Linked DNA regions of Elephas maximus indicus. Each later gene encodes a partner of the first gene's protein in a complex. Links are inferred from orthologs where the notes say so. Each region holds a gene or a part of one and is shown in the gene's direction. Other genes may lie near its edges. The genes, in order: GTF2H4, GTF2F2, POLR2C and GTF2E2.

Region 1 (7,246 bases):
TGATGAGTAGGATTGTTTGTCTCCTTTGTGGTAACCTTATTATCTACCCCTGTTTTTCTAAATTTAAACCTAACTTTTATTTCTTTGTATCGCCGTATGTTCCTCTCCATATGGAAGGTGTATGATTACATTTCTTAGTCCCTCTTTTTCTAATGTTGTTTTCTTTTATACAATAACATTGCTCTTACCCTGTTTTGAGCTTTTTTTAAAAAATAATCTTGCTTTGTTTTTTGGATTTCCCTGTCTGGGTTGAATTCTGGTTGCTCTGGCCAGTGTTCTAGTCTTGGGTTGATACCTGATATTATTGATTTTCTAACCAAAGAACTCCCTTTAGTATTCCTTGTAGTTTTGGTTTGGTTTTTACGAATTCCCTAAACTTGTGTTTATCTGGAAATGTCTTAATTTCACCTTCATATTTAAGAGACAGTTTTGCTGGATATATGATTCTTGGCAGGCAATTTTTTTCCTTCAGTTTTTAAAATATGTCATCCCATTGCCTTCTTGCCTGCATGGTTTCTGCTGAGTAGTCCGAGCTTATTCTTACTGACTCTCCTTTGTAGGTGACTTTTCTTTTATCCCTCGCTGCTCTTATAATTCTCTCTTTATCTTTGATTTTGGCAAGTTTGATTATAATCTGTTTTGGTGACTTTCTTTTAAGATCTACCTTATGTGGAGTTCGATGAGCATCTTGGATAGGTATCTTCTCATCTTTCACGATATCAGGGAAGTTTTCTGCCAACAAATCTTCAATAATTCTTCCTGTATTTTCTGTTATCATCCCCTGTTTTGGTACTCCAATCACTCGTAGGTTATTTCTCTTGATAGAGTCCCACATGATTCTTAAGGTTTCTTCATTTTTTTTAATTCTTTTATCTGATTTTTCTTCAAATATATTAGTGGCGAGTGATTCATCTTTGAGTTCAGAAATTCTAGCTTCTATTTGCTCATTTCTGCTCCTCTGACTTTTTATTGAGTTGTCTATTTCTGTAATTTTATTGATAATCTTCTGAATTTCTGATTGCTGCCTGTCTATGGATTTTTCCAGCTCATTAAACTTTTCATTATGTTCCTGAATAATCTTTCTAACTTCTTCAATTGCTTTATCTGTGTGTTCCTGGGCTTGTTCTGCGTGTTGTCACATTTCCTTCCTCATGTCTTGAAGGGTCCTGTATATTAAACTTTTGTATTCTGTCTCTGGTAATTCCAGGAATGCACTTTCATCTAGAAGATCCCCGGATTCTTTGTTTTGAGAGCCTGTTGAGGTGATCATCATCTGTTTCTTTATGTGACTTGATATTGACTGTGGCCTCTGAGCCATCTATAAGTTATTGTATTATTTTATGCCTGTTTAATGTGTTGTAGCTTCTTGCTTTGTTTTGTTTTGGTATAACCCTATGGGTTGCTTGAGTGAGCTAGCTTGATTATTTTCACCTTTTGAGCTCTGACATCTGGTCCCCAGATGGCTAGAGCTGTTATCAGGTATATCAGTCTAGGAGTCCATTCAGTTTTGTTGTATGAATTCAGCTCAGGTTTCCGGGTAGCTGATCATCAAGTATGTGTTACAGGCTCTGTACTACAGACTTAGAGGGGCAGGGGTGATTGGCATATATATCGGTATCTGATTGCAGCAGGGGGTCACGCTCTGAACAAGGTAGGTGGCTGAGAACCGACTCCCGAGTGTCTCTGAGGAAAGCATGTCCCTGTTCCCTAGAGTGTGCAGGTGGGTGGGTTCTGCAGACGGACCATGGGCACCCAAAGTTTTTGATTGTAAGGTCTGGGAGGTACCAGTTATCTTTGGACCCCTGTCGCGGGTGGCTGGGTGACCTGAGTGACCTGAGTGGAGCTACCAGTCCTTAGGTCCCTGATATGGGTAGGTGGGGACCTTGTTTAATAGGCAAAGCAATGTCAAACATCAAACACCCACCTCTTAAACGCACAGCTGAAATGGTCAGAGTCTGCCAACAAGGGCCTATTCTCCCGAAATAGTCCCACACACGTCCATGCAGAAGGGAAAGGTGCTCAAAGTCCACGGATGGTTTATGCCTGGAGAGGAGCTGCTTCTGTCCTGAGGTCCCCGGGTTAGTGGAACTAGCAAATTATCTTTTCTCCCAAATGCAAATTTTTTCCTTCCCCAAGGCTGGGAGGATGGCTCTAGGTGCTGAACAGTGCCTATCTCAGGCCCAGGGAGTTCAGCCTCTGAAGCTGGCTTGGGGGTGGGGGGGCATGGTAAAATATACCCAAGTACTTAGCTTTTGCCAAGAGCACTGTTCTCCTCAGGTTCCGGAGGTGTGAGTGGGCTGTAAGGCTGGCTGCTTCTTCCTGAGGAAACGGTGGCCAAATGCTACTACCAGCCCGCCGCCGCTGCCGCTCCAGGAATGGTGCCTGAGGGCTCCCGGCGATTCAGGTTCGATAACCACTCTCCACTTCTGAATGGTCTCTTCCTCCCCCTGCCCCTCAGTTCGTTTTCTAAGCTTGCCTTTAAAGCTCAGGGCTCCCAGCTTGTCACAAACATACTGGTTTCACTTGTTTTTTCAGGTCTTTGTTGTAAAGAGGGCTCCCCAGAAGTGTCTGTCTATTCCGCCATTTTGGCTCTGCCTCTCGAGTTTTTTTTTGACTCATAGAGACCCCACCGGGCAGAGGAGAACTGACCCACAGAGTTTCCAAGAGGCAGCTGGTGAATTCAAACTGCTGACCTTTTGGTCAGCAGCTGAGCTCTTAACCACTGCGCCCCCAGAGCTCTGAAACTATTGACAGATACTGCCAAATTGCCCTTAAAAAGGCGTATGTCAACCTTTGACAAAAGTGTGTAAGTGAAAAAAATTTGTATGAGTATGCTCGTATATCCTTGTGAACACTGAGTTTGTCAAACCTTGTTTTGTTTTGTTTTTTATTGTTGAGCTAATCTTGTACTTTATGGTTTACTTTGATATTTGGTTTCAATTTACTTTTCCATAATTACTACTGAAATTTAGTTTTTTCATCTGTTTACAAGGCACTTGTATTTTTTCTGTTTATTGTCTGTTCATCTCTTGTGCTTTTCTTTTGTTTTTATTGCTTTGTAAGAGCTTTTTGTATTTTGTCTATTTTATCAAACATTTCTTCCCAGACCGTAATCTGTCTTTTAACTCTAACTTTTGCCATAAAAGAGTTTTGTCAGCTTTGTATCATGTTTTGAGGATTTTAAACGCTGACTGCTAAAGAAACAGACAGGGAATACAAAGCCTAAGAAAGTCTTACCATTTTGGGTCCAGTATCCTTTGCTGCCTCACAAATGTGCTTCAAATTCCAGCTTTTGCACTGTCTAGCTGTCTGATTGTGGGCAAATCTCTCAACCTTGCTGGGCTTCAGTTTTCGTTTGTAAAGATGGAATAATAAAACCTGCCTTATAGGAACTTGGGGGGAAGTGTACTTCTAGTCTGAGGACGTCCCCTCCCCTTTCCCTGCAGTAGATTTGTAAGCCAAATCAGAGCAACTTTTTTTTTTTAATTGTATTTATAACGACCTTCTAACTAAACGAGAGGTGACTGCGTGGTGGAGGTGGAAATTAAGATTTATTGAGTACTTACGTGCCAAGTAAGGTGCAATAGCCAAAAACCGAATCAATTACATAGCCGTGGAGTCAATTCCAACTCATAGCTACCCTGTAAAACAGAATAGAACTGTCCCCACAGGATTTCCAAGGCTGTAAATATTTACGGACGCAGACTGCCCGATCTTTCTACTGCGGAGCAGCTGGTGGGTTCCAACCGCTGACCCTTCGGTTAGCAGCCGAGCGCTTAACCACTGCGCAACAAGGCTCATTGGACCGTGTCAACTCCAAACTCGCGCAAACTTTCGGGAATGTGCTCTGTCCCAACTTCACGGGGAGTAACTAAGCTCAAGGAACCCAGTTCCCACGTCTCTAAGCCTAAGCGCCTCACACCGCGCCGCCTCAGCACGCCTCTGCCCGGAAGCCCTCCGGGCCCATCTACTCCCGGGACCCGCCTCCCGCCTGCCGCCGAAGCCGGTTAGATGCGATGTTAGCACCGTGGGTCGAGAGCGCCGCGGAACGAAAGAGCCCAGCCGGTATCCCCAGCTCTCTAAATTAAAAACCAGCCTCTCTCCTGCCCGCTTTCTCGCGGTGCGTTTCGGGAGTTGTAGTCAGACGCGCTTCGGCCTGCTTCGGGATGGACAAGAACAAGACTCCAATTCCCAGTATGTCCCGCGGCTGGGGAGTGCAGCGCCTATTCTCCTCCCCACTTTTCCACGCCTTCCTTTCTCTTCTAAATCCTCCGCTCTGAGTTCCTGCCTGTGAAGTCCTTCGTCCCTCTTGCCAGTCTTTTTCTCGCATTTTTTTCACCATTCTTTCTCTTATTCCTGGGAGCCAATGCGAGACACCAGTTCCCATTAAGCGACTGCTCGAGACTCGGGGTGCGCGAGGGGTATCGATCCAGAGTGGTGAGGGGCACCCAGGAGGGCGGGGGTGGCGGAGAAATGAGAGAGAAATTGAGAGGAGAGGAGTGGGAGGAAAGTAGGGGAGAAGTTAGGAGCTAGGACTATGTGGGATCACGGTGAATGGGGGGAAACGGTGGCAGGGAGACGTAATTTATTGCCGTTTCCTAGCACAAGTGGGGCTAAGAAATTGCAGATGGGAAGAACTGACAGATTTGGAGCTCATAGTCTGATCTGACCAGGGAGGATGGAAGGGAGGGAGGGGACTGGGTTCAAACTGGCTTCTTAGCCACTGCTCAGCTAAAAGTGAGACAAGCCATTGAAATACAAAATGATTTTTGCAAACATGGGACAATTAACAGAAGTAGGGTGTGAGGAGGCAGGCAAGTAGGGGAGCTTGGTCAGATTTGGGAGAAACAGGAGGAGATAAGTGAGATGGAAAAGGAAACCACAGAAAAGATGGGTTATCGTGGAGGAGGCTGAATCTGATCTCGAATCAGAATGAGAAAGGTGAGGGGTGGTACTGGCATGGTTGGTGGGAGTGCTCTTCTAACAATGCATCCTTCAGGTGATGGAGAGCACCCCTTCAAGGGGCGGACTGAACCGAGTACACCTACAATGCCGGAACCTGCAGGAATTCTTAGGGGGCTTGAGCCCTGGGGTATTGGACCGATTGTATGGGCATCCTGCCACCTGTCTGGCTGTCTTCAGGTGAGGACCCCCTTGAAGGCAGGGACCATGTGGTGGGGGGAAAATGCAATGAAGGCCTCCAGACTTGAATAAGTTATCATGGGTAGAGGCTTAGCAGCCCTGGAGAACTTGGAGATTACTCATAAGGGTGGTAGGCCAAAATAGATGGAGTTTGTGGGGCAGCAGGACTGGTAAAGGTGTGAGGGCTAAGATGGGACATTTGAGAGGCCCTTGATGGCATAGTGCTTAAAAGCTACAGCTGCTAACCAAAAAGTCGGCAGTTCGAATCCACTAGGTGCTCCTTGGAAACCCTGTGGGGCAGTTCTATTCTGTCCTGTTGGGTTGCTGTGAGTTAGAATTTATTTGACAGCAATGGGTTTTTTTTTTTTTTTTTGGTTTTGATGGCATAGGTGCAGCTATAAGGCAGCTTCTGACATTAACATTTGACATCTACTCCTCTGTAGGGAGCTCCCATCTTTGGCTAAGAACTGGGTGATGCGGATGCTTTTTCTGGAACAGCCTTTACCACAAGCTGCTGTAGCCCTGTGGGTGAAGAAGGAATTCAGCAAGTGAGTCTCTACTGCTTTCTCACCAGATACAAATTTCCCAGCAGGTGTATTTCCCAAACTGCTGTTCCTTCGAACACTCCCGGGAAGTATTAATGGTATTAATGGGTATGCCACAAAGCTTGTAATTAAGTTTGGGAACTCTGCATGCTATATTTCCCTCTCGGAGAGCCACGATATGTACTGAGATGCTCTGATAAGCGTTAGAGTAAAGAAATTTAAGACACTGATTTCACTCTGGAACAGTGTTCTAAGGATCTCTGGTTCAGAAAAGGCAGAAATCAAAGCTTTTATGGGCCTACTTCTTTTTGTTCTCCAGACACCCAAGTCACCTCTTTGCTTCTGTTTCAGGGCTCAGGAGGAAAGTACAGGGCTGCTGAGCGGCCTCCGTATCTGGCACACCCAGCTGCTCCCTGGAGGTCTCCAGGGCCTCATCCTCAACCCCATCTTCCGTCAGAACCTCCGCATTGCCCTTCTGGGTGGGTATGTCACCTCCATCTCTTCCTCACCTAGGACAGGGGAAATGATAAACTTCTTGGGGGCTAACTCCCAAGGGGCCTCCCTGTAACCTTGTGGGTGCACCTTTGGGAGCCCCTTTATAAATAAATCAGTTGGACCAGATGTAGCTGGGTGGGGTAGGAAATGTCCCCCACTCATGTTCCATGGGGATAAGGGGGGAAAGGGGGCGGGGGTAGGTGGGGAGCACAGGGCAGGTTCCTTACTCTTGGCCCATTTTGGCCATAGAGGAAAGGCCTGGTCTGATGACACAAGTCAGCTAGGACCAGACAAGCATGCCCGGGACGTTCCCTCCCTGGACAAGTATGCTGAGGAGCGATGGGAGGTGAGGACTTGGGACTGTGTGTGTCTCTGTTCATGCTGCTACTTACCTGTGGCCCTTAGAGGCATCACTCTCTCTGTTCTTTTCCATTTCTTAGGTAGTCCTGCACTTCATGGTGGGCTCCCCCAGTGCAGCTGTCAGCCAGGACTTGGCACAGCTCCTCAGCCAGGCTGGGCTCATGAAGAGGTACAACAGCTCCTGCTTTGCTGTCTCCTTGGGTCCCTGCTAAACTGGGTGTCTCGGGAGGATCAGGATTGGAGGGGTTGGCTGAAAAAAGGAGAGCTGGGTGGAGTAAGGCCAAAGATACCAAAAACAAACCAAAAAAAGTGAGAGGGCAAGTGGGGATGGTGGCCCTTCTCTGTGTATCTCCACCATCGTCCCTGTCTGTGTCCCTAGTGCTGAACCTGGAGAGCCACCCTGCATTACTTCCGCTGGCTTCCAGTTTCTGCTGCTGGATACCCCTGCCCAGCTCTGGTACTTTATGCTGCAGTATCTGCAGACAGCCCAGGTGAGGCCAGGGGCTGCTTGCCAGCCTGCTCTGCTCTTCCCAAGACAACTCCCAATGAGAGACCCCCACCTATAGGCTCTGTTTCCTGATTTTCTCTTTTCTCCTTCTCCTCCCTTTTCTCCCTCCTATCCTTCCTCTTTTTCTCTGCCCCTTCCTCCCTAGAGCCGGGGCATGGACCTAGTGGAGATTCTCTCCTTCCTCTTCCAGCTTAGC
Region 2 (6,989 bases), on another chromosome or scaffold:
AGGTGAGGAATCTGGCTGCAATATCTGTCACCTTGTGGGTCTCCCAGTAAATTCGATGGATATTGTTAGGCTGTGTTCTCCTTTTCTCTCCCAGTTCCACAGACATCCATCCCCAAGCTGGAAGATGTTTGGAAAGGACAGGTAGGGAAAAAATTGTTCTTTGCTCAACAGTGTATGAGGACAGGTGCTCAGTAAATTGTTGGGTTTTTCCTCTTTCCCAATTTTATCATTTTTAAATCTTCATGTTTTCCTTTTTTCTCTACCCATTTCTTTGCCATTCTTTCTCCCACAACCCCTGTGTAGCATGCATGCACGCACATAAATTTTAAGGCTTCTTATAACTCATTGATCAAGGCCAAGGCACTAATTCTTTACTCTAAAGTCCACTACTGGAGTCCCCAGGTGTTGCAAATGGTAAATGTGCTTGACTGGTGTCTTAATCATCTAGTGCTGCTATAAGAGGAATACCACCAGTGGATGGCTTTAACAAACAGAATTTTATTCTCTCACAGTCTAGTAGGCTAGAAGTTCAAATTCAGGGCATCAGCTCCAGGGGAAGGCCCTCTCTCTCTCCTTCCGCTCTGGGAGAAGGTCCCTGTTATCAATCTTCTCCGGGTCTAGGAGCTTCTCTGTGCAGGAACCTCAGGTTCAAAGGACCCACTCTACCCCTGGCACTGCTTTCTGGATGGTATGAGGTCCCACTCTCTCTCCCCTCGCTTCTCTCTTTTATCTCTTGTAAGACAAAAGGTGATTCAGGCCACACCCCCAGGAAACTCTGTTTACATTTGATCAGGGATGTGACCTGACTAAAGGTGTTACATCCCACCCTAATCCTCTTTAACATAACCCAATCTTCCCTCATTAACCACAGGCAGAGATTGGGGTTTACAACACTGGCAAATTATATCAATCAGGAAATGGAGGACAACCACACAATATTGGGAATCATGGCCTAACCAAGTTGACACATATTTTTGGGGGACATAATTCAATCCATAACAACTGGTAACCAAAAAGTTGGAGGTTCAAGTCCAGAGGTGCCTTGTAAGAAAGGCCTGGTGATCTACTTCTGGAAAATCAGCCATTGAAAACCCTGTTGAGCACAGTTCTACCCTGACACATGTGGGATCACCATGAGTTGGAGTCAACTCAATAGCAACTGGCAAAGTCCTTTATTAGGGTGCTCCAGGCTACTTTACTACCCTTCTTTCATGGTCTCCTATTTCGATTTATTCCTTCTACTTCATCAAAGCTTAAAGGAGCTTTCTTCATCTGCTTGAACTCTATATGTTTTTGGGCCCTTTCCCAAGTTGTGATTCGAGAATACAGCCTTCCCTTTTAACACACTGCCTGGTTCCTGTCTTTCCTATTAGTTTTTCTAAAGTGATCTCAGAGACCTGATGGCTCTTCCTGGTCCTATGCTGCAGTGATGGGATTTCTTCGATTTTGTGCGTGGGTCTGATGTGTGATTTAATATATTACTTGCCATTCATACAATATCTTACTTCAGTGACTATTCACTCAACCAAAGCCTTTTGAAATGTGACAATGTGTCAAACACCGTGCTAGACATTATAGATATGAATAAATATTTCTGCCTGGGAGGAGCTCATAGCCTAGAAAGCAGAGGCAGGCATGTAAACATGTATATTTTAGTGCAGTGTGTTATGGGTAGGAGCCCTGGTGGCTAGTGGTTAAGTGCTGGTTCAAACTCTGAGGCCGTTCTGTGGGAGAAAGATATGGCAGTATACTTCCGTAAAGATTGCAAACCAAAGGGGGGGAGGGAACTCATTGCTGTGGAATCCGTTCCAACTCATAGTGGCCTTGTAGGACAGAGTACAACTGCCGCATAGGGTTCCCAAGGCTGTAAACCTTTACAAAAGTGCACTGCCACATCTTTCTCACACAGCACCACCAGCGCTCCCCCTTAAAGGTTAGGAAACCATATGGGGCAGTTCGACTCTGTCCTGTAGGGTCACCATGAATCAGAATTGACCCAATGGGCAACATGATTTTTTGGTTTTGTCTTAAGTGCCAGTGAAGTAAGTTAAGTGTCTTTCTTGTGGTGAAAAACAGGTGAAATTGTGCTGTACAGATCAGAAAATAAGCACAAATAAGCCCGTGTGTAACTTGCTTATCGGATAATCCGCCCCTGAGTGTCACACACTGTGATGTGAAGGGAAATGAACTTCCTCTGGGGCGTCGGCAAAAGGTCTCGTAGGAACTGATGTTTCCATTAGTCTTGAAAGATAAATAGAAGTTTATTCGAGGACGGGCTTATGGGAAGACTAGGGGATCCGAGGATAGGAAATCAAGTGTGAAGAGGCTCTGAAATAATTTAGGAAGAGCCTCACGAATTCAGGGAGGTCTGATAGGCTCAGTGTGGTTGTGAAGCCGTCACTGAGGCTTCCCGATCCGCTGCAGTTCCTACCCCCACTTGCAGCCCACCAAGCCTCCTGTCCTAACCGCTGTTTGGCCCCAGTGCGCTGAGGGCACTACCTGAGGCTTGAATTTGGCACCAACACCCCGCGCATGCGCAAACCAAGATCTCGGTGCCCACGCAGGCTCTGAAGAGCCGAGGCCTGGAACTTGACCCCTGATCTGAACTTTGCCAGAGCGGATGTTCTCCAGTACACAGCTGCACCGCAGCCCACTTGTAAAGTGAAAGTTCCCTTCCTTTACAAATAATTCAGCACCTGGATCTCCAAAAATGGACATGGGAGGATGGGGTGTCGGATTTGGGGCACCAATCCCACCCCCTAGGGACTGAAGGGCATAAAAGCTCTAAGCTCCCTTGGGGCTGGTAGCGCGTGGTCTTTTGGCTGCTAGGCCCCGCGTTCCTTGTCTGCACAAACAATAAATTTCCACTTTCTGTTTCCCTTACAACTGGCGGTGTGGCGTCTGTCATATTTCCATCTGCTAACAGGACGGGACAAGAACCCTCACTGGGTTACAGTGGGAAGTGTGGTAGAGTCAGGAGCAGGAGTGCAAAGGAATCAAACGGAGAGGACTCATGAAGCAAGGGGATTGAATTTTATTCTAGGGCCAAGTAGAGAAAAGAAATTTGTTTAAGCAGGGGAGTTCAACAATCAGGTTTGTCTCTTACGTGTTTGTATTGTCACTGACCTAATTAAGTCCAGATTTTGGAATCTAAAGACTGTGCTTACTCAATTATAGGTCCCCAGGGACAGCCTCTGAGTTGAGACACCGCTTTCTTTTCAGGTCTAGAAATGGCATGTTTTCAGATTACCTGGGGCAAATTAATCCAATCCCCATGCCCATTTGTGCTAGTTCACTTCCCGGGAAACTGATATTTGAAGAACTCCAATTTTTACTCTAGTTCTGTCCTTCAAAATGTTGTCTCTCTCTCCTTGGCCAGGGTTGGGCATATACTGACAGCTTCTGTCTCTTTAAATCCCATTGGTTATTCTGTTTTGATGCCCTCTTTCCTCAGTTAGGGAAACATTGGTGGTGTAGTAGTTAAGAACTATGTCTCTAACCAAAAAGTTGGCAGTTCAAAACCACGAGGCGCTCCTTGGAAACTCTACGGGGTAGTTCTACTCTATCCTATAGGGTCCTCATGAGTTGTAATAAACTCAATGGCAATGGGTTTTGTTTTGTTCCTTAGTTATAGGAGCCCTGGTGGTGCAGTGGTTAAAGCGATTGGCTACTAACCAAAAGATCAGGGTTGGAACCCAGTACCCCTGTAAGCTTACAGCCTTGGAAGCCCTATGGGGCCGATCTACTTTGTCCTACAGGGTCATTTTGAACTGAAATTGGCTGGAAGATAATAGGTTGCGATTTGAGTTTCTTTAGTTACGTTGACCTAGTCTTTAAAGGTACTGATGACGTTTTGGCCCGTCCCACCGTACGTTTTAATCAATCAGATAGGGCTTCTCCGGTAGCCACACCCACCCAAGCGCGGGCCGACTGGAAAGTTTGTCCCCAGCAACGCGCCGTACTGACGGTGGCAGTGCGCAGGCGCAGTTCCCGGCCCCCAGCGGCGTGTTCCTTTTTCCTCAGGTTTCCAGCTTCCTGGTAGCTGAGAAACCCTAGCTCCTCAGAGGCCACCTTCCTCCGCGGCTCGCCGGTTGCCCCGGACACTCCTCCGGCAGAAGTCCCCCAGCTGTCGCGGCCGCTGCCCCGGCTGCACGCCTCCACCGGCGACAGACTCATGGCTGAGCGCGGCGAACTCGATCTGACCGGCGCCAAACAGAACACGGGAGTGTGGCTGGTCAAGGTAATGTTCGCGGGACTCCCGCCTGTGCGCCCCCTGATAGAAATAGTTTAAGTGACTTACGATCGTCCCGCTCCGTACGGCTTTTAAAGTTCTTTTATGGCCATCTCATTAGAGCTTCACATACTTGGGGAAGTGTGGTCGTTGTTTTGCCCGTTTGCAGATGAGAAAATTAGTTTAGGGAAGCTGAGTGTCTTTCAGCCAATTGAGAGTCCAAGTATGCCTGGAATGGATCTGTTCCCCACGACCTGGCTTGCCCTGGTGCCCCGTCTGGTGTCCCCGATTTGAGCGGTGCATTTTATCCCACATCGAAGAATTCCTGAATCTTGTTGAAACGGATTTTAGTCTTGAGAGCACGCGGAAGAATCTACTTTCTCGGCCAGAAAGTAGAACGGAAGGTTGCTTACCCTTAAAATTGTTCTTTTAGGATGATGACCTTTAATAGGGCTCTCAGAAGAGTTCTGAACTAATGGGAGAAGAGGTCACTCGACCTTTCTTTTAGAGCACGATTGGGTCTCTTGAGACTGACCGTCAATAAATGTTTTATGTAAAGACTAGTATTGCGTCCTTTTCGTTTGCAGTCTGGGTTAGCCGTTAGCACAGTGTTTGTATTGACTTTTTTTATACTGAGAAGTGTTGTTTTTTGGGGGAGTTTCATAAGACATATGCATGTTCAAACTGTGATCATGACAGTCTTTGAACCTCGCATAAAATGTAGAGATCTTTGGTTTGTTAATGCTTTAGTTTACTGTCTTATCACACGGCCAAGTCCTCATCAGTTAAATATCAGAGAGGTTCTTCCTGTCCACCCCTCTAAAATAGCTCCTTTATGGTGATTTGGTAGCACGTCAAACTTTTGTTATATTCTTCAAAGTGTTTGTCAGAGTCTAAAGTGATTCCGTATTCATGCGTTCAGTGATGGTTACTCCCTGCCCCTCAACACCCACATACACACAATCACATTCCATTAGAACAGGACCCACAATAGTGTTTGGCACATTGGTAATTGCTCAGCAGATATTTGATGAATGAATGCATGATTTCATCCTTCAACCTTATCCTTAGTCTGTGGCACTCATTCGACTTATCTCACAGCCACATCAGCATGACTTAAAACGATCAAGTAAATGGGTGTCTCACTCCCAACTGGAAGAGATTGATTAAGGAGATAATCTGCTTTGTAGGCTAAAGAAAAGAGCTTGAAAAAGTGGTGAGAATGGAGATTATGGTTTTATGCTTGGAGCGCAGTAGATGCACAATAAATGTTGTTTGCCTTACAGGATTTGAATGGGTGGATCGAGCTATAGCATAGTATTCCATAGACCAAAAAATCTGTTGCCAGTGAGTTGATTCTGACTCATAGCGATCCTATAGGAGTGGAACAGAAATACAAGACTGGAAATGCATGTTAACATGATGCGTTCTGGAAAACAAAGAGGAGACTATTATGCCTAGAGCAGAGAGTTTGTGTAAAAAAAGCTTGGGACCATATACCCAAATTGTCATATCGTGAAACGGAGATGTTTTAGCTTTAAGTCAGTTGTTGTTGAGTGGATTCTCTCTTGATTTTAGTCTATAGAAAATGGAGGGTTTTGAGTAAGGCAGGGATGCATAAGATTCTTTTAAAAAGAAAATAAACTTGGCAGTATGCAGTATGCATTAGAGGGTAAGGGTGACCAGAGTCAGAATTCAGAAAGTTACCGCAGTAGCATAGGTATGTATGAGATGATGAAGTCTGAAGAGTTAGGAAAATGTTTTCAGTAAAAAATTGTCAGGATTTGCTGACTATCTTAGGGTACTTTAGAGAAACAGAACCAGACATATACATGTGTAGAGATAGAGAGAGATTGATTTATTTCAAGGAATTGGCTCACGTGATTGTGGGGGCTGCAAGATCAGTTGGTTAGGCAACTGGCTGTAGACTCCTGCACTCCCCAAATCTGCGTGTAGGTCAGGCGTTAAGAAGAGTGAAGAGTAGGAGTGTTCATATCTATTACGGTATGGAAGAGGAGTAGAACTCATCCTAGGGAAGCTTCCCTTTGCTTTTAAGGTCTTTACCTGATTGATTGAGGCCTGCCCACATTATAGAAGGTAATCTGCTTTACTTGAGGCCACCATATGTAATTTATAACAGCAACTAGTCTAGTGTTTTAGCAAACAGCTGGGCACCATAGCCTAGCCAAGTTGACCCATAAAGTTAACCATCAGTCTGACTAAATGAGAATGTGAAAGAACGTAATGAATCTGAAATTGAAGAAGTTAAAAGAATTTTGGTATTCTCCCCATATATGCACATTTGAATACATTTTATCTCTTTTAAAAAAAAAAAATCTTAAGCCGATGATTTGTTCTTGTTATTTCTTGCTTGCAAAATCATTGCTTCCTAGCATCAACTTGGTATGCAGTATTTCTTTTTTTATGTGTCAAGGAAATGAATGGACTTGTAAATACGTCTTTCCTGGGTATGAAAGGAATATGCTGGATATTTTCTCTTTCTTGCCAGTTCTTGTCCTCTGACAACCTTATTTCTGAAAGAGGAAGAGAATTGCTAGCAAATATTTTCTGTTGTAAAATCTGTCTATATCCCGCCTTTATTTGACAACTTTTATTTCTGTTCTAGTAAAAGGCGTCCCAATAGGCAATGGGGTTTGATTTGCACACCTAGCAGATAATATGAACTTGTTTCATTTGCACTGGGGTAAGTATTGAGGGTGATTTTCATGCCCATATCTAGAGAATACTTGGATTTTCA
Region 3 (7,476 bases), on another chromosome or scaffold:
CACCCTGTCAAGTTCACTGCAGTAGCTGTTCCAAATTTCATTCCAGTCTTTCCTTTATCCTTCATGGCATCCATCTTCACTCAGCAGACAACCTGAAGTCTGACTTGATGGAGAAGAAATAGGTGTGGAACAAGAAACCCTTCAATGCCCTTCCTTTCCTGTCTCAGGAAGAGGTGTCGCTCCTTGCTAAGGCAGACTGCTTTTATCTCCTCTCCTGGTTACTCTTCGTTATGCCCTGTAAATGAAGTCCCTGGCAAATTCTATTTCAGGCCCTCCTCTCTACATGAGTGCTGTGATTCTGAAGGTCCCAGCCACTCCTACCATTTCAGCTGCCACCTTTTTGAGGCCTGTTCAAACCTCTCTGCAGACTGGTTAGGGGACGTTGGTGATTCTTTATTGAGTATATGCCCTGTATGGGGCAAGCTGCTGGGGACTGAGAGTGCAGAAATGAAAAACCCCCTCCCCAGCAACTACACAGAACTGTGGATGATGTATTTTATTAAAGAGTATTGTATTTTTTCCCCAGCATTTTCAGAAGCCAAAATGACATGCATGATTCAGACTTGATAAGGCTGAAAGGGAAAGGGTGTATACCCATTCTTTAAGTACTTGAAAACAGGATTTAATATTAGCAAGGCTGCAAAGAAATAAACCAAAACCAAACCCACTGCCGTCGAGTCGATTCCAACTCATAGCAACCCTATAGGACAGGGTAGAACTGCCCCATAGAGTTTCCAAGAAGCGCCTGGAGGATTTGAACTGTTGACCTCTTGGTTAGCAGCTGTAGCACTTAACCACTACGCCACCAGGGTTTCCACAAAGAAATACTCTTAATACTGTGTCAATGAACTTCGTACAATCTTTCTACAGACCAGTTTGATTATAAAAATTGTACATTTTAGTTAAATGTAAAATGATTCAACAAGATCATTTATTTTTACCAGATTATCAAAGATCAAATATTTGGTAATACCCACTGTTGGGAGAGATGGGAAATCACAAAACCTGAGGGTTATGTGGAGGGCTATTTGACCATGTTTCTAAAAAAAGTCCATATACCCTTTGACCAGAAATTCCACTTCAAGAAATTTATTCTACAGATACACAACTGTGAACAAGGATGTTAATGTAGCCCTATGTATAATAGAAACTAGCCACAATCTAAATGTCCATTAGTATGTTGTTGTAAGGTACCATCACGTCAGTTCCGACTCATAGTGACCTTGTGTGTAACAGAACAAAACGCTTCCTGGCCCTGCACCATCGTCATGATCCTTGTTATACTTGAGCCCATTATTGCAGCCACTGTGTCAGTCCATCTTGTTGAGGGTTTTCTTATTTGCTGGCCCTCTACTTCACCAAGCATGATGTCCTTCTCCAGGGACTGAGCCCTCCTGGTAACATGCCCAAAGTACTTGAGACAAGTCTCGCCATCCTTGCCTCTAAGGAGCATTCTGGTTGTACTTCTTCCAAGACAGATTTGTTCTTTTGGCAGTCCATGGTATATTCAATATTCTTCACCAACACCATAATTCAAAGGCATCAATATTTCAGTGTTCTTTATTCATTGCCCAGCTTTCGCATGCATATGAGGCGAATGAAAACACCATGGCCTGGGTCAGGCACACCTTACTCTTCAAGGTGACATCTTTGCATTTTAACACTTGAAAGAGGTCTTTTGCAGCAGATTTGTCCAATGCAATGCGTCTTTTGATTTCTCGACTGCTGCTTCCATGGCTGTTGATTGTGGATCCAAGTAAAATGAAATCCTTGATGACTTCAATCTTTTCTCCATTTATCGTGATGTTGCTCATTGGTCCAGTTGTGAGGACTTATGTTTTCTTTATGTTGAGGTATAATGCATACTAAACGGCTGTAGTCTTTGATCTTTTTCAGTAAGTGCTTCAAGTCCTGTTCACTTTCAGCAAGCAAGGTTGTGTCATCTGCATAATGTAGGTTGCTAATGAGTCTTCCTCCAATCCTGGTGCCCCATTCTTCTTCATATAGTCTAGTTTCTCAGATTGTTTGCTCAGCATACAGATTGAATAAGTGTGGTGAAAGGATATAGCCCTGACTCACACCTTTTCCTGACTTTAAACTGCACTATCCCTTTGTTCTGTTTGAACGGCTGCCTCTTGATCTACGTACATGTTCGTCATGAGCACAATTAAGTGTTCTGGAATTCCCACTCTTCACAATGTTATCCATAATTCGTTATGATTCACACAGTCAAATGCCATTGCACAGTCAATAAAACACAAGTAAACATCTTTCTGGTATTCTCTGCTTTCAGCCAGGATCCATGTGACATCAGCAATAATAGTCGTATTAACTGGTCTTCCTTGTAGGCATATGGATATTATTCTATTACTGACAGCATTGTACGTCAGGGTAGATTTTTTGAAATGTTCTTTTTGACGACGAATGCAACACCATTCCTCTTGAAGCTGTCATTCCCAGCATAGTGGATCATATGATTTTCCAATCGAAAATGGCTACTACCTGTTCATTTCAGCTCACTAACGCCTAGGATATAGATGTTTATGTGTTCCTTTTCATTTTTGACAATTTCCAATTTTCCTAGATTCATACTTCATACATTCCATGTTCCAATTATTAATGGATGTTTGCAGCTGCTGCTTCTCGTTTTGAGTTATGCCACATCACCAAATGAAGATCTCAAAAGCTTGACTCCATCCATGTCATTAAGGTCGACTCTAGTTTGAAGAGGCAGCTCTTTCCCATTGTCTTTTGAATGCCTTCCAACCTGAAAGGCTCACCTTCCAGCACTGCATCTATGTTCCACTGCTATTCATAAGGTTTTTACTGGCTAATGCTTTTCAGAAGTAGACTAGCAGATCCTTCTTCCCAGTCTATCTTAGTCTGGAAGCTCAGCTCAAACCTGTCCACTATGGGTAACCCTGCTGGTATTTGAACACCGGTGGCATAGCTTTCAGCATCACAGCAACACACAAGCCCCCACAGTATGACAAACCGATAGGTGCTTGGGGGGATATTGCTGGTGTCCATCAGTATGGAACTGATTAATTATGATATATTCATATGATGAAATTAATTATTAAAGGAACAAATTGATTTGTATGTACTGATCATAACCCAGTAACCCAGTGCCGTCGAGTCGAGTCCAACCCATAGCGACCCTATAGGACCCTATAGGACAGAGTAGAGTGTACTGATCATACACAAAGAATATAAGAAATCTAGATTTTCTAGTTTTTCAAATTTATTTCCATAGAGTTGCTCTCCCAAATGTGTGGTTTCTTACTTCAGGCTAAATTAATTCCCCATGACCACCATAACTAGTTAGCACAAACTTGGTAACTAAAAAAAAACAGAAATCAATTCTCTCACAGTTCTGGAGGCTAGAAGTCTGAAATGAAGGTGTCTGCAGGGCCATGCTCCCTGTGGAGGCGCTAGGGGCGATTTCATTTGCCTCTTCCAGCTTCTGGTGACTGTCCATATTACTTGACTTGTAACCTTATTCTCCAGTCTCTGCCTCCATCTTCACATTGCTTTCTCCTCTGCATGTGTCTTCTCTGGGTATGTCTTATAAGGACGCTTGTCTTTGGATTTAGAGCCCCCCCAGATAATCCAGGATGATCTCATCTCAAGATCCTTATTACATCTGCAAAGACTTTTTTTCCAAATAAGGTCACATTCACAGGTTCTGGGGATGAGTACAGGGACATAGCTTTTTTGGGGGGGACCATGGTTCAGTCCATTACACAGACTGTGGAGCAAGGGCCCCCTCAGTACCCTTTCTCTTTGTCTCAAGAATAGGCGTCAGTCCTTTTGTTAAAGAGCTCCCTGCCTCCAGCAGTTTGAGGAGCCACATGCATGATCTAGACTTTACGGTGAGAGCGAAAAGGCAGATGTCTATTATTTGTGTACTTTGCTGAAGCATACTTATTGCTAAAGTATAATCTTATTTCTTCACAGAGCTTACAAATTTACTTCATTCTTTTTAAAGTCTTCATTATATTCCTATGTGTGTATATTTAACCAAATCTCTATCAATGGACAATTGGTTTACAAACAACCTTGCAGCCAACATCCCTGTACACGTATGCCTGTTCACAAATGCAAACATTTCTGCAGGGTAATTCTTAGAAGTGTAATTGCTGAGTCAAAGGGCAAATCCACTTCTTGGCAAAATTACTCTCTAAGGTGGAACCTGGTACATTTTTAAAGCAGGCTGGATTTACAAAGAAGTCCTGGTGGCGCAGCGGTTAAGAGCTCAGGCAGCTAACCAAGAGGTGGGCAGTTCGAATCCACCAGACGCTCCGTGGAGATCCTATGGGGCAGTTCTACTCTGTCCTATAGGGTCGCTATGAGTCGGAAGCGACTCGAGGGCAACAGGTGTGGTTTTTTAGGGTTTACAAAAGCATCTTCCGATTAAACGTCTGGCCCGCAGCGGCCCTGGCCTCCGATCGGCAGGCGGCGCTGTGAGCGAGTCTCTGCGGAAGCGGCGACGGCCGCGCTGGCTGACTTCCGGCGGCGGCGGCGCAGCTAAGCTGACTGCAGGGACTCCGCGGCGCGATGCCCTACGCCAACCAGCCCACCGTGCGGATTACCGAGCTTACCGACGAGAATGTCAAGTTCATCATCGAGAATACGGACCTAGCGTAAGGCCACCGAAGGAAGAGGCTGGTGGCTTGGGAGTGCTGGAATGCCTCAAACCCGGGGCGGGGATGGGGTGAGGGTGGTCCCTTCCAGAACTGCCCTGCCTGTGCCAGGGCCGTCGCTTTGGGAACCATGAGGCACGGGGCCGCCCGGCGCCCTCACCCCGTCTGGTTTTCATCCCTCAGGGTGGCCAATTCTATTCGGAGGGTCTTCATTGCTGAAGTGCCCATAATAGGTAAGCGACCCCTACCTCCTCGTTGCCTGGGCGACCAGCCCCCCGCCTTCGGTTTCCGCCCACCCACCTTGGGCTTCCTGCCTTCAGTCCTTGGTGCGGCCTGGGACGGGAGGCGGAGGAATAATCTGGACCGCTGAGAAAAGGGCAGTGTTGGAAACTTGCCAAAACCATGAACCCTTGGCCCAGCGACCACTGCTGGCCCCCTCCCTGGCTCTCACGCCACTTAGGTCTACCCTTCCGTGTGCATTGGTGAAGAGCGTGGGCTCGGGGGTCTACTGACGTGGGTTCGAATACTGTTTCACCTAGCACCTCAGTGAAACTTGGGCAAGTTATTAATCTTCTCTGTGCTGCAGTTTTCTCATCTGTAACACGAATAGTGTTTATCAGGGTGATATCAAGGATTAAAGGAGGTAGTCCATATGCAGGGCCTTGCATTTAGTGAGTGTTCAGTCCTGGTAGATGTCATTGTTTTTTATGACTCTTCAGTTGCATTTATGATGCATGTAAGTGCCAAGCGTGGTGCTGGGTGCTGGGAGTACAAACCTATATAAAATGAGGTCTTTGGCTCACGGGGAGAAGCCCTGGTGGTGCAGTGATTAAAGTACTCAGCTGCTAACTGGAAGGTTGGTGGTTTGAACCCACCAGCCACTTCAGGGGAGAAAGATGTAGCAGTCTGCTTCTGTAAAGATTTATAGCCTTGGGAACCCTATGGGGCAGTTCTCTGTCCTGCAGAGTTGCTGTGAGTTGGAATTTACTCGACGGCATTGGGTTTTGGCTCATGGACCTCACAGTGAAGTTTCAGGGGTGGGCAGTGAGTCCACAGATAACACTAATACAATGTAGACTCTGATGGGTATTTCAAGGGAAACAGCTGCAGTGCTTTCGGCAGTTAAAGGAAGGAGAATCTATTTCTTCTCTGGTTCCAGCCACCCCTCTTCAGGTATTTTATGTATTGACAAGTATGCTACAAGTATTTTCTGAGTGATAGCTCAGAGAATTTGGCTTAAGCAAAAAAAATATAAGTCATAGATAATGCATCAGGTGTGTGGCCTCTTAGGGAAGTAAGCAGGCGCACTGCTTGGTAAACAAGAAAACACTGTAGTTTATCCACCCTCCCCCATCACTTCTTCAGCTCAGAGCTTGGCACCTGACCCTCCCCCTGCCTAATCACTCAGTTTAGTTTCATGAGGAGTAAAATGAGGGAATTGGACTTTATGATGCAACTCTAACATTCTGCACCTAAGTGCGACTTTTTCCATAAGTTCAGTTCTACAAGTAACATCGAGCACCTGTTATAGCCCAGGCCATGGCTGGGCATATGAGGAGATTTCAAGATCTGGCTCAAGGAATTTTTAAAGCTAGAGGTAGAAACAAGACGTATACAAATACAACACAAGGCAAAATATGGCAAGTGTCTTAAGAGAAGTCCAGATGGAGTTTTGTGAGGGAGAAGCTTAAAGGAAGGGCGTGATTGCTTCTGTATCATCGAGGACGGACAAGACTTGGTGTTGAGAGTATCAAAGGATAAGGGGATGATGGGAGGAGGGGGTGAGGGAAGTAAAGAGGCAGAGGCAGAAAAGCTTGGGCCATGGTTCTTTTTTGAGTGACTGAATGGCTTGGGTGGGAGAAGCAGTTGAAAGCATTGCAGGATGAAGCAGCCTGGAGCCTGGCTGTGTCTTGCCTTCTTCTGATCTTTGAGTGTTAGAGACATCTGGCAGTTGGGTTCCAGTGTCATTCGACTTCTAGGTTTAATTGCTTATGTGTAAATGTTTACTTATGAATGAATACATGTGTGTTTAAGTGTGTGTGAGAGTAGTTCCCCGCCCTCCTACTAGCTCATTGCTAGTAGGGATTTGGGTTTTTTGCTCAGCATGTCTTGTCTATTAAAAGAATTCAGTAAACATTAGTGGACTGAGTGATAATGAAGTGCTAAATTGGGTGATCTGGTCTTTATATCAGAAAATGAGGTATGGACCATAAGTCTGAGGTTCCCCCCACTTAGGGCCCACATAGTTGTGTTCTTGGACTTAGTGTTGGTAGACTTAAGGTAGCAGATGTAACTGCTTCTCCTGGAAATACTCAGCTCAGAGAAACATGGTCCAGCCACTGGCATTTTCCGAGTTGCACAGAGAACATCCTGCATCTGCAGTGGAATCAGTGTCAGATGTTGCCTCCGTCACCAGAACCACTGCTCTCAGTCTTTAGGTGAATTCAGTGACTAAACAGCATCTCCGCTTCCTTCGTATTTCAGCCATTGACTGGGTGCAGATTGATGCCAATTCCTCGGTCCTTCATGATGAGTTCATTGCTCACAGACTCGGTGAGTGCTGGGCTTGGGGTGCTGTGCCTGGTCTCAGGAGGAAGCCTCCGCTCGCCTCCGAGGGGCCTTGTAGGTTCTCCTTTGGGCCTCACTACTTGACTGTCTTTAAAGTGCTTTTCTGTGTCTTACAGGATTAATCCCCCTCATTAGTGACGACATTGTGGACAAGCTGCAGTACTCCCGGGTATGCTGCCTGACTGGGTGGAATGTGGTGGGGAGGGAGTGCCTTTATTTCTCAGAGTGATTTGTCCTGACAACGTCCAGCTTGTACTAGATT
Region 4 (6,860 bases), on another chromosome or scaffold:
GTGGAATTAAAAAGTACACTGGGGATCTCACCTAATATGAAATAAACAAACATAATGAAACCAAAGATTAGTAGTGGTTACCAAAGTGGGAGGGAAGAGAAAATACGGAGTATTCTTGCTAAGAGGACATTGAGTTTTTGTTAATTTCCAATAATTTGGAAAAGGATAGCAAGAATGATTTTACACATTGAGTGTATGTTAACGGTGGTAGAATAATTTGGAAAAGGATAGTGAGAATGGTTTTACAACTCTAAGGATGTAGTCAGTGTCACGTAGAAATTGTTGAGTTGGCCTGTGTGTCGTGTGTTTTTTCACCACCCATGCACACACACAAAACAGCATCGTAGGAGCAGACAAATCAGGTTATTCCAAGACGTTAAACTTCTTCCTGCATGTAAAGTTAACACTTTCGACAAGTGTGTTCATTATTGAACTAATATTTAATGAAAGTAGTCTAAGTAGTCACATTGCATTGGGCAAATCTGCTGCAAAAGACCTCTTCAAAGTGTTAAAAAGCAAAGAGGTCACTCTAAGGACTAAGGTGCACCTGATCCAACCCATGGAATTTTCAATCACCTCATATGCATGTGAAAGCTGGACAATGAATAAGTAAGATTGAAGAATTGATGCATTTGAGTTATGGTGTTGGCAAAGAATATTGAATATACCAGGGGCTGCCAGAAAAACAAATCTGTCTTGGAAGATGTATAGCCAGTCTGGTGAGACTTGGTCTCATTTACTTTGGACATATTATCAGGAAGGACCAGTCCCTGGAGAAGGACATCATGCTTGGTAGAGTACAGGGTCAGTGAAAAAGAGGAAGACCCTGAACAAGATGGACTGACACAGTGGCTGCAACAATGGGATCAAGCCTCTAGTTCTTGGGACTTGAGCTAGCAGCTTACCTGTGGCTTTGCCTGCTGATCTTGGGATGTGTTGAAGTTCACAGCCTATGAGCAAGAGCCCTGCTCTCTGACCTGCCAGTCTTGGGTTTGCCAGCCCCTGCGGCAGCTGCGTGAATCAGGAAGAGCCTCTATCCTGATCCATTTGGGACATTCCAGCTTCTCCAATCGCATAAGCCATTTCCTTGATGTAAGTCTCTCTCTCTCTATATGTAAATACATTTATATGCTTTACTGGTTTTGTTTCTCTAGGGAACTGAGCCTAAGACAGCAGGGGAAGCTGGAGGTTGGCTAACTAGAAGTAGGGCATCTTATATGATTGATTTGGGGAGCATATTTGGCTTTCTCGAGTTGGTTCTGGGTTGGGGCAGGGGATAGGGAAGTTGGTAGCCTTTGGGCAAGTCCTGAACATTCTGTGGCAATTGCTGCAGAGGTTGTGGTTTGGCTTGTTATGTGGGTCAGAGTTCTATTATCCTCTATGATCCAGTTGTTGTGCATTTGTATATTCTGTCTCACTCATTAATGAGGAAACCAGCAGAGTGACAGAATTAATTCCATGAAGACATGAGACACTGGGATTTATATAACTATTGGGGAAAAGAACGGTGAAATACAATTGCTACATTAATACAAAACTTGCTAATGTTTCTCGGGACAATGCAATTTTAAATTCTGAGATTATTTTTTCGTCTTGGATTCCTTCCCATTATTCCATAACACCTTACTAGTTGTCTGCCTGTTGACCTCAGATTTGCTGCCCTGGAGACCTATGTCTAACAGAATAAAACGTTGCCTGGTTCTGCGCTATCTTCCTGATCACTGGTATGTCTGAGTCAGTTGTGGCCGTTGGGTCAATCCATCACATGAGGGTTTCCCTCGTTTCCACTTTACCAAATATGATGTCCTTTTCTAGTGATCGGTCTCTTTCAATGACTGTCCAAGGTAAGCAAGTTGAAGTCCCACCATCCTCACTTCTAAGGAGCATTCTGGCTGTATTTTTCCTAAAACCGATTTGTTCATTCTTCTGGTAGTCTGTGGTATATTCAATATTCTTTGTTAACACCGCCATTTGAATATATCTATTCTTCTGTTTTTCTTTTTTATTGTCCGTCTTTCCTATGCCTGTGAAGCAACTGAAAAGACTGTTGGTTGGGTCAGGTGCAACTGAGTCATCAAAACGACATCTTTGTTTTTAAAACTTGAAAGAGGTCTTTTGCAGTACAATACTATCCTCATTTCCGAAATGAGAAAACTTAGGTACAGGTCGAGTAACTTGAGGAGTAACCAGTACTAAGTAATTAAACACAATTAAACTACAGCTACAGAGTAGTTGAAGGAGCCCTAGTGGTACAGTGGGTAAAGCTGCCGGTCTGCTAATCGAAAGCGTTACCACAAATCGCGGGTCCGAGCAGCCTGCCGCAAAGCCAATACTCAGACAGGAGGAGGTAAGCAGTAAGAGGGCTTTACTGAATACCGGTATTCAAGAGACCCAAACCAAAAACCCAAACCCACTGCCGTCGTCGATTCTGACTCATAGCGACCCTATAGGACAGAGTAGAACTGCCCCATAGAGTTTCCAAGGAGCGCCTGGCGGATTTGAACTGCGACCTCTTGGTTAGCAGCCATAGCACTTAATCACTACGCCACCGGGGTTTCCATTCAAGAGACAGAGGGGGCTAAATTTCTCCCAAATTCTGTCTACCCTAAAGGGTTGACGGGAGAGTTTTATATGGGGAAGATCAGGGTTATCTAATCTTTTGAGCATGTAGTCCACAGATGGTCTTATACGTCACAAAACAACCACAAAAAAACTATTCAACTAAAGATATGCATGTCAGGCATCCAGACTCTCATCAGTATATTTGTAACAGGCTGAAAAACTCACGTAACAATCTCTTGGCTAGTGGAACTGTTTTGCCAAGTCCACTGTGGCTGAGATAGGGAGCGAAAAAAAAAAGCTGCAGATTAAAAATGCCAGAGAGCCTTCCTATGGGTTTGCAGGCTGAAGGCCATCTCTCAAGAGAACAAAAAGAAGAAAGACCAAGGCCACAGGAGCTGAGATAGCTCCGCACCCCTTTGGAAGAGATGGGTACATCTGGTGCAATAAAAAAATGTTGAGAGATTACTTAGAGCATCCTTAGGGCGTTAGTTATGTCAAGCTCTCCATCACCTATTTTGAATAGGGGGAAACCTGTTTGTAAGGTATCATGTTTTAAGAGTGGAACAGGCTGCTCAGCTATATTTTGAACAGAGCCTGCACCATTTTCCAAGGACTAGAGATTAATCACAGCTTATACAGCTATACTAAAACAAATAAGAACATATATTCTCTCTAATATTAAAACACTAAAGAAAATGAATTTTTGCTACTTCAAAAGGTCAGAGGTTTGAAGCCACCAGCAGCTCCGCTAGAAAAAAATATGGCATTCCGCTTCCCTAGAGATTGAGAGCCTTGGAAACCCTATGGGGTCACTGAGTTGGAATCTACAGGATGGCAGTGGTTTAGTTTTGGGTACAGAGTAGTTGAGCTCTGGCCAACTGGGCCTGTTCTCTCACTTGTGAAAGAGGCAGCCATTTGAGGTAAATTCACAAATTTCTGAATTTTGTGTAGACACTCAATAGCTGGCGCCCCTACTCTGGGTTCAACAGATTCCAGAGCACGATGAGAGTAGCAACCAGAAGCTTTAGTTTGCCACAAAGCAAAGGGGTCCTCCATCTTCCTTTGCGCCGCCCGCTCACGCTCCCCCACGCCCCCTCAGTCCCGCCCTCGGTTCCGCCCCGCCCCCTCCCTCCCCAGCCCGCCCTCTGGTTGTCATGGGGATCCGGGACGCCCGAGCCTGCTTGTTACCCTCCCGCGGTACCCCTGGCGAGGGGGCGAGGTCACGTGACGACGCATGCGCGTTCTCGGCCTCGAAGGCGCCGCGGTGGCTGCCGGGACTCGGCTCCTAGCAGCCAGATCAGGAAGTGGCGGGCGGAGCCCGGGGCCGAGTCGCCGCCTCAGTAGCCGCTGCCGCCGCGGCCGGTGGGGAGACCTCGACCTGGCGTGCGTGCGAGCAGGCGGGGGTGCTGACGGCGAGCAGGAAGAGGCGGCGGCTCCGGCGTGGGCGGCGGGCCCTGGCGGAGGCGCGGGGAGGCGGCGGCGGGTCGCGCGGGGCGGCTCTACTGGCTGAGGTAGGGGCCGCGGCCGCCGGCTGGGGGGCGCTGAGCCTGGGCTGTTGTTCCTCGGACGGGGACGCGCCACCTCCTCCCGCGGGGCCGAGCGTGGCTTCCAGCCCCGGAAGGCTGGGCTGTGGCTCTCCCGGCCGAGCACTGCAAGGGTGTAACAGTTCCGTGGGAGCTTTGTCTTTGAGGCCGGAGCGTTCATTGAGCAAACTTCTGGGTTGGCAGGAGGGAAGATGCACCGTCGGAAAGCTGAGAAGTCTCTTCCTCCCCCACGTTCCCATGGGCGGTAGCTGAGGGAACCGCGTGTGGAGTTTCGGGAACCACAGTGTGCCGACAGGTACCTCAAGGCTGTGATTTAGACACTCACCCACGGACTGTTTTTTTTTTTAAGCTGGCTTTTGGAGACTTAGTTTGTAATGATCCTTAAACTTAGTCATACAGTTATAGTTGTTTTCTGCGTAGTTTAAAGACGTTTTCCAAAAACGATACTGCGGTACCTTTTTCAGCCTACTCTCTGCTTCTGTGTGTTTTCTCAGCCTGCCGGCTGTTGGTAGCAGTGTTGTTAGATGCCAGTGACACCTCTGAGGCTTAGTCAGGGAAAGGAGGAAAAGTAGAAAGGCTAAATAAAAGAGGCGACTGGTGTGGTGGCAAGAACGTGGCTTTTGGAGGCAGAAGATTTTGGTTTAGTTTTGGCTTCTTAAAATCCATCCTTGGAGGAAGGCGCCAGCTCCCTGAACCGGTGTGGTGAGTCTGTGTGGTGGTTTTTAATGTAACTGGGGATGGTGATGTGTGCTGTCTACTGTAACACAGTTCAGCATAGGGATGGGAAACTCAATAGGAATGTTGAGAAGTCTTCTGAGAAAAGAGGAAAAGCTAGCTAGAGCATGCAGTGGTGAAAACGGGAGATACTAGTAAGCCTTCTGCTCTAGGTGCCATTCATTGATCGTCAGCAGTACCACACAGGTGGCCTTTGTTGCAGAGGCCTTAAGCAGTGTTTCCCATCCGGTGTGAGGAGCACTTGACCGGTAGTCAGGATATTTGTGGTTTTAGCCCTAGTTCTCCCAGCTGTGTGACTGTAACCATACAGCTTCACTTCAGATTTCACATCTTAAAATAGGAGTGAAACTAATACCTTATTATCTCATAGTGTTGTGAGGATCAAATACTGTATTTAGGTCTTTTTAAACTCTAAGGCTTTCTTTGAATTTGTGTTTAAATCATTAGGAAAATCCCAGATTAATTACTTATCTAAACAAGGGGAAATAAACTGATACAAATGCTTCCCGTTTTAGAGTTTACAGTCTTCTGTTGCCCCCCACCATGTCACTTGTGAATTCTCATTGCTCGTTCTTGGTATCACACTTTGCCTTGCCCCAAGACACTCTACCTTCCTTACTCCGGTGTGATCATTTTGTTATTTCTTGTCAAACCCGTCTCAAAATAGTAATACTGAAATGATAACATATTTGTATAGTGTGGTGCTTTACTATTTAAAAAATCGCTTTAATGACTCTTTTTGTTTTTTACAGTTGAGCTAGATGTAGACACTGTTGGTAGTATCTTCATTTTACTTATCATGATGTTGCTTATTGGGAGAATAAGCAACATCATGATAAACAGGTTGTGAGGACTTTTGTTTTCTTCGTAGAGGTGTAATTCATACTGAAGTCTGTAGCCTTTGATCATCATCGGTAAGCGCTTAAACGTCTCTTCCCTTTCAGCAAGCAAGGTTGTGTCATCTGCATATCTCAGATTGTTAATGAGTCTTCCTCTAATCCTGATGCCCCGTTCTTCTTCACATAGTTGAGCTTCTTGGATTATTTGCTAAGAATACAGATTGAATAAGTATGGTGAAAGGATACAACCGTGATGTACACCTTTCCTGATTTTAAACCATGTAGTATCTCCTTGTTCCATTTGAACAGCTGCCTCTTGGTCTATGTACAGGTTCCTCATGAGCACAATTAAGTGTTCTGGAATTCCCATTCTTTGCAATGTTATCCATAATTTGTTATGATCCACACAGTCGAATGCCTTTGCATAGAGAATAAAACACAGGTAAACATCTTCATGGTATTCTCTGTTTACAGCCAAGATTCATTTGCTATCAGCATTAATACCCCTGCTTCCATGTCCTCTTCCGAATCTGGCTTAATTTCTGGCAGCTCCCTATTGATGTACTGCTGCAATTGCTTTTTAATTATCTTCAGCAAATTTTTACTTGTGTGTGACATTAATGATACTGTTTGATAATTTCTGCATTTTGTTGGATCACTTTTCTTTGGTTTGGACACAAATATGAATCTCTTCCAGTTGGTTGGCAAGGTAGCTGTCTTCCAGATTTCTTGGCACGGACAAGTGAGCACCTCCAGCACCGCATCTGCTTGTTGAAACATCTCAGTTTGTATTCCACCGATTCCTGGAGTCTTGTTTTTCGCCATGCCTTCAGTACAGCTTGGACTTCTTCCTTCAGTACTATGAGTTCTTGATCATATGCTACCTCCTGAAATGGTTGAACATCAACCAATTCTTTTTGGTACAGTGACTCTGTATTCCTTCCATCTTCTTTTGATGCTTCCTGAGTTGTTCAGTATTTTCGCCATAGAATCCTTCAGTATTGCAACTCAAGGCTGGAGTTTTTTCTTCAGATCTTTCAGGTTGAGAAGTTCCAAGCTTTTGGTTTTCTAACTCCAAGTCTTTGCATATTTCATTGTAATACTTTATCTTCTTGACCCACCCTTTGAAAACTTCTGTTCAGCTCTTTTACTTCATCTTTTTTTTGCTTTAGCTACTCTA

Evidence for each region.
Region 2: GTF2H4 (region 1) and GTF2F2 share a complex: the UniProt entries of both Homo sapiens proteins name them as parts of the TBP-based Pol II pre-initiation complex. The link is inferred for Elephas maximus indicus from reciprocal best matches to the Homo sapiens genes GTF2H4 and GTF2F2.
Region 3: GTF2H4 (region 1) and POLR2C share a complex: the UniProt entries of both Homo sapiens proteins name them as parts of the TBP-based Pol II pre-initiation complex. The link is inferred for Elephas maximus indicus from reciprocal best matches to the Homo sapiens genes GTF2H4 and POLR2C.
Region 4: GTF2H4 (region 1) and GTF2E2 share a complex: the UniProt entries of both Homo sapiens proteins name them as parts of the TBP-based Pol II pre-initiation complex. The link is inferred for Elephas maximus indicus from reciprocal best matches to the Homo sapiens genes GTF2H4 and GTF2E2.

Annotation. Positions count from the first base shown.
Region 1 is NC_064819.1:91,215,928-91,223,173, forward strand, and holds the start of GTF2H4 (general transcription factor IIH subunit 4), read left to right. Parts: upstream 1-4,233; 5' UTR 4,234-4,410; intron 4,411-4,999; 5' UTR 5,000-5,002; coding exon 5,003-5,142; intron 5,143-5,585; coding exon 5,586-5,690; intron 5,691-6,038; coding exon 6,039-6,170; intron 6,171-6,431; coding exon 6,432-6,528; intron 6,529-6,622; coding exon 6,623-6,711; intron 6,712-6,921; coding exon 6,922-7,033; intron 7,034-7,195; coding exon 7,196-7,246. UniProt on the Homo sapiens protein: Component of the general transcription and DNA repair factor IIH (TFIIH) core complex, which is involved in general and transcription-coupled nucleotide excision repair (NER) of damaged DNA and, when complexed to CAK, in RNA transcription by RNA polymerase II.
Region 2 is NC_064832.1:35,134,175-35,141,163, reverse strand, and holds the start of GTF2F2 (general transcription factor IIF subunit 2), read left to right. Parts: upstream 1-3,971; 5' UTR 3,972-4,174; coding exon 4,175-4,240; intron 4,241-6,989. UniProt on the Homo sapiens protein: TFIIF is a general transcription initiation factor that binds to RNA polymerase II and helps to recruit it to the initiation complex in collaboration with TFIIB.
Region 3 is NC_064839.1:24,366,837-24,374,312, forward strand, and holds the start of POLR2C (DNA-directed RNA polymerase II subunit RPB3), read left to right. Parts: upstream 1-4,476; 5' UTR 4,477-4,560; coding exon 4,561-4,646; intron 4,647-4,829; coding exon 4,830-4,879; intron 4,880-7,130; coding exon 7,131-7,199; intron 7,200-7,330; coding exon 7,331-7,383; intron 7,384-7,476. UniProt on the Homo sapiens protein: Core component of RNA polymerase II (Pol II), a DNA-dependent RNA polymerase which synthesizes mRNA precursors and many functional non-coding RNAs using the four ribonucleoside triphosphates as substrates.
Region 4 is NC_064840.1:69,554,428-69,561,287, forward strand, and holds the start of GTF2E2 (transcription initiation factor IIE subunit beta), read left to right. Parts: upstream 1-3,842; 5' UTR 3,843-4,073; intron 4,074-4,082; exon of another isoform or gene 4,083-4,289; 5' UTR 4,290-4,401; intron 4,402-6,860. UniProt on the Homo sapiens protein: Recruits TFIIH to the initiation complex and stimulates the RNA polymerase II C-terminal domain kinase and DNA-dependent ATPase activities of TFIIH. Both TFIIH and TFIIE are required for promoter clearance by RNA polymerase.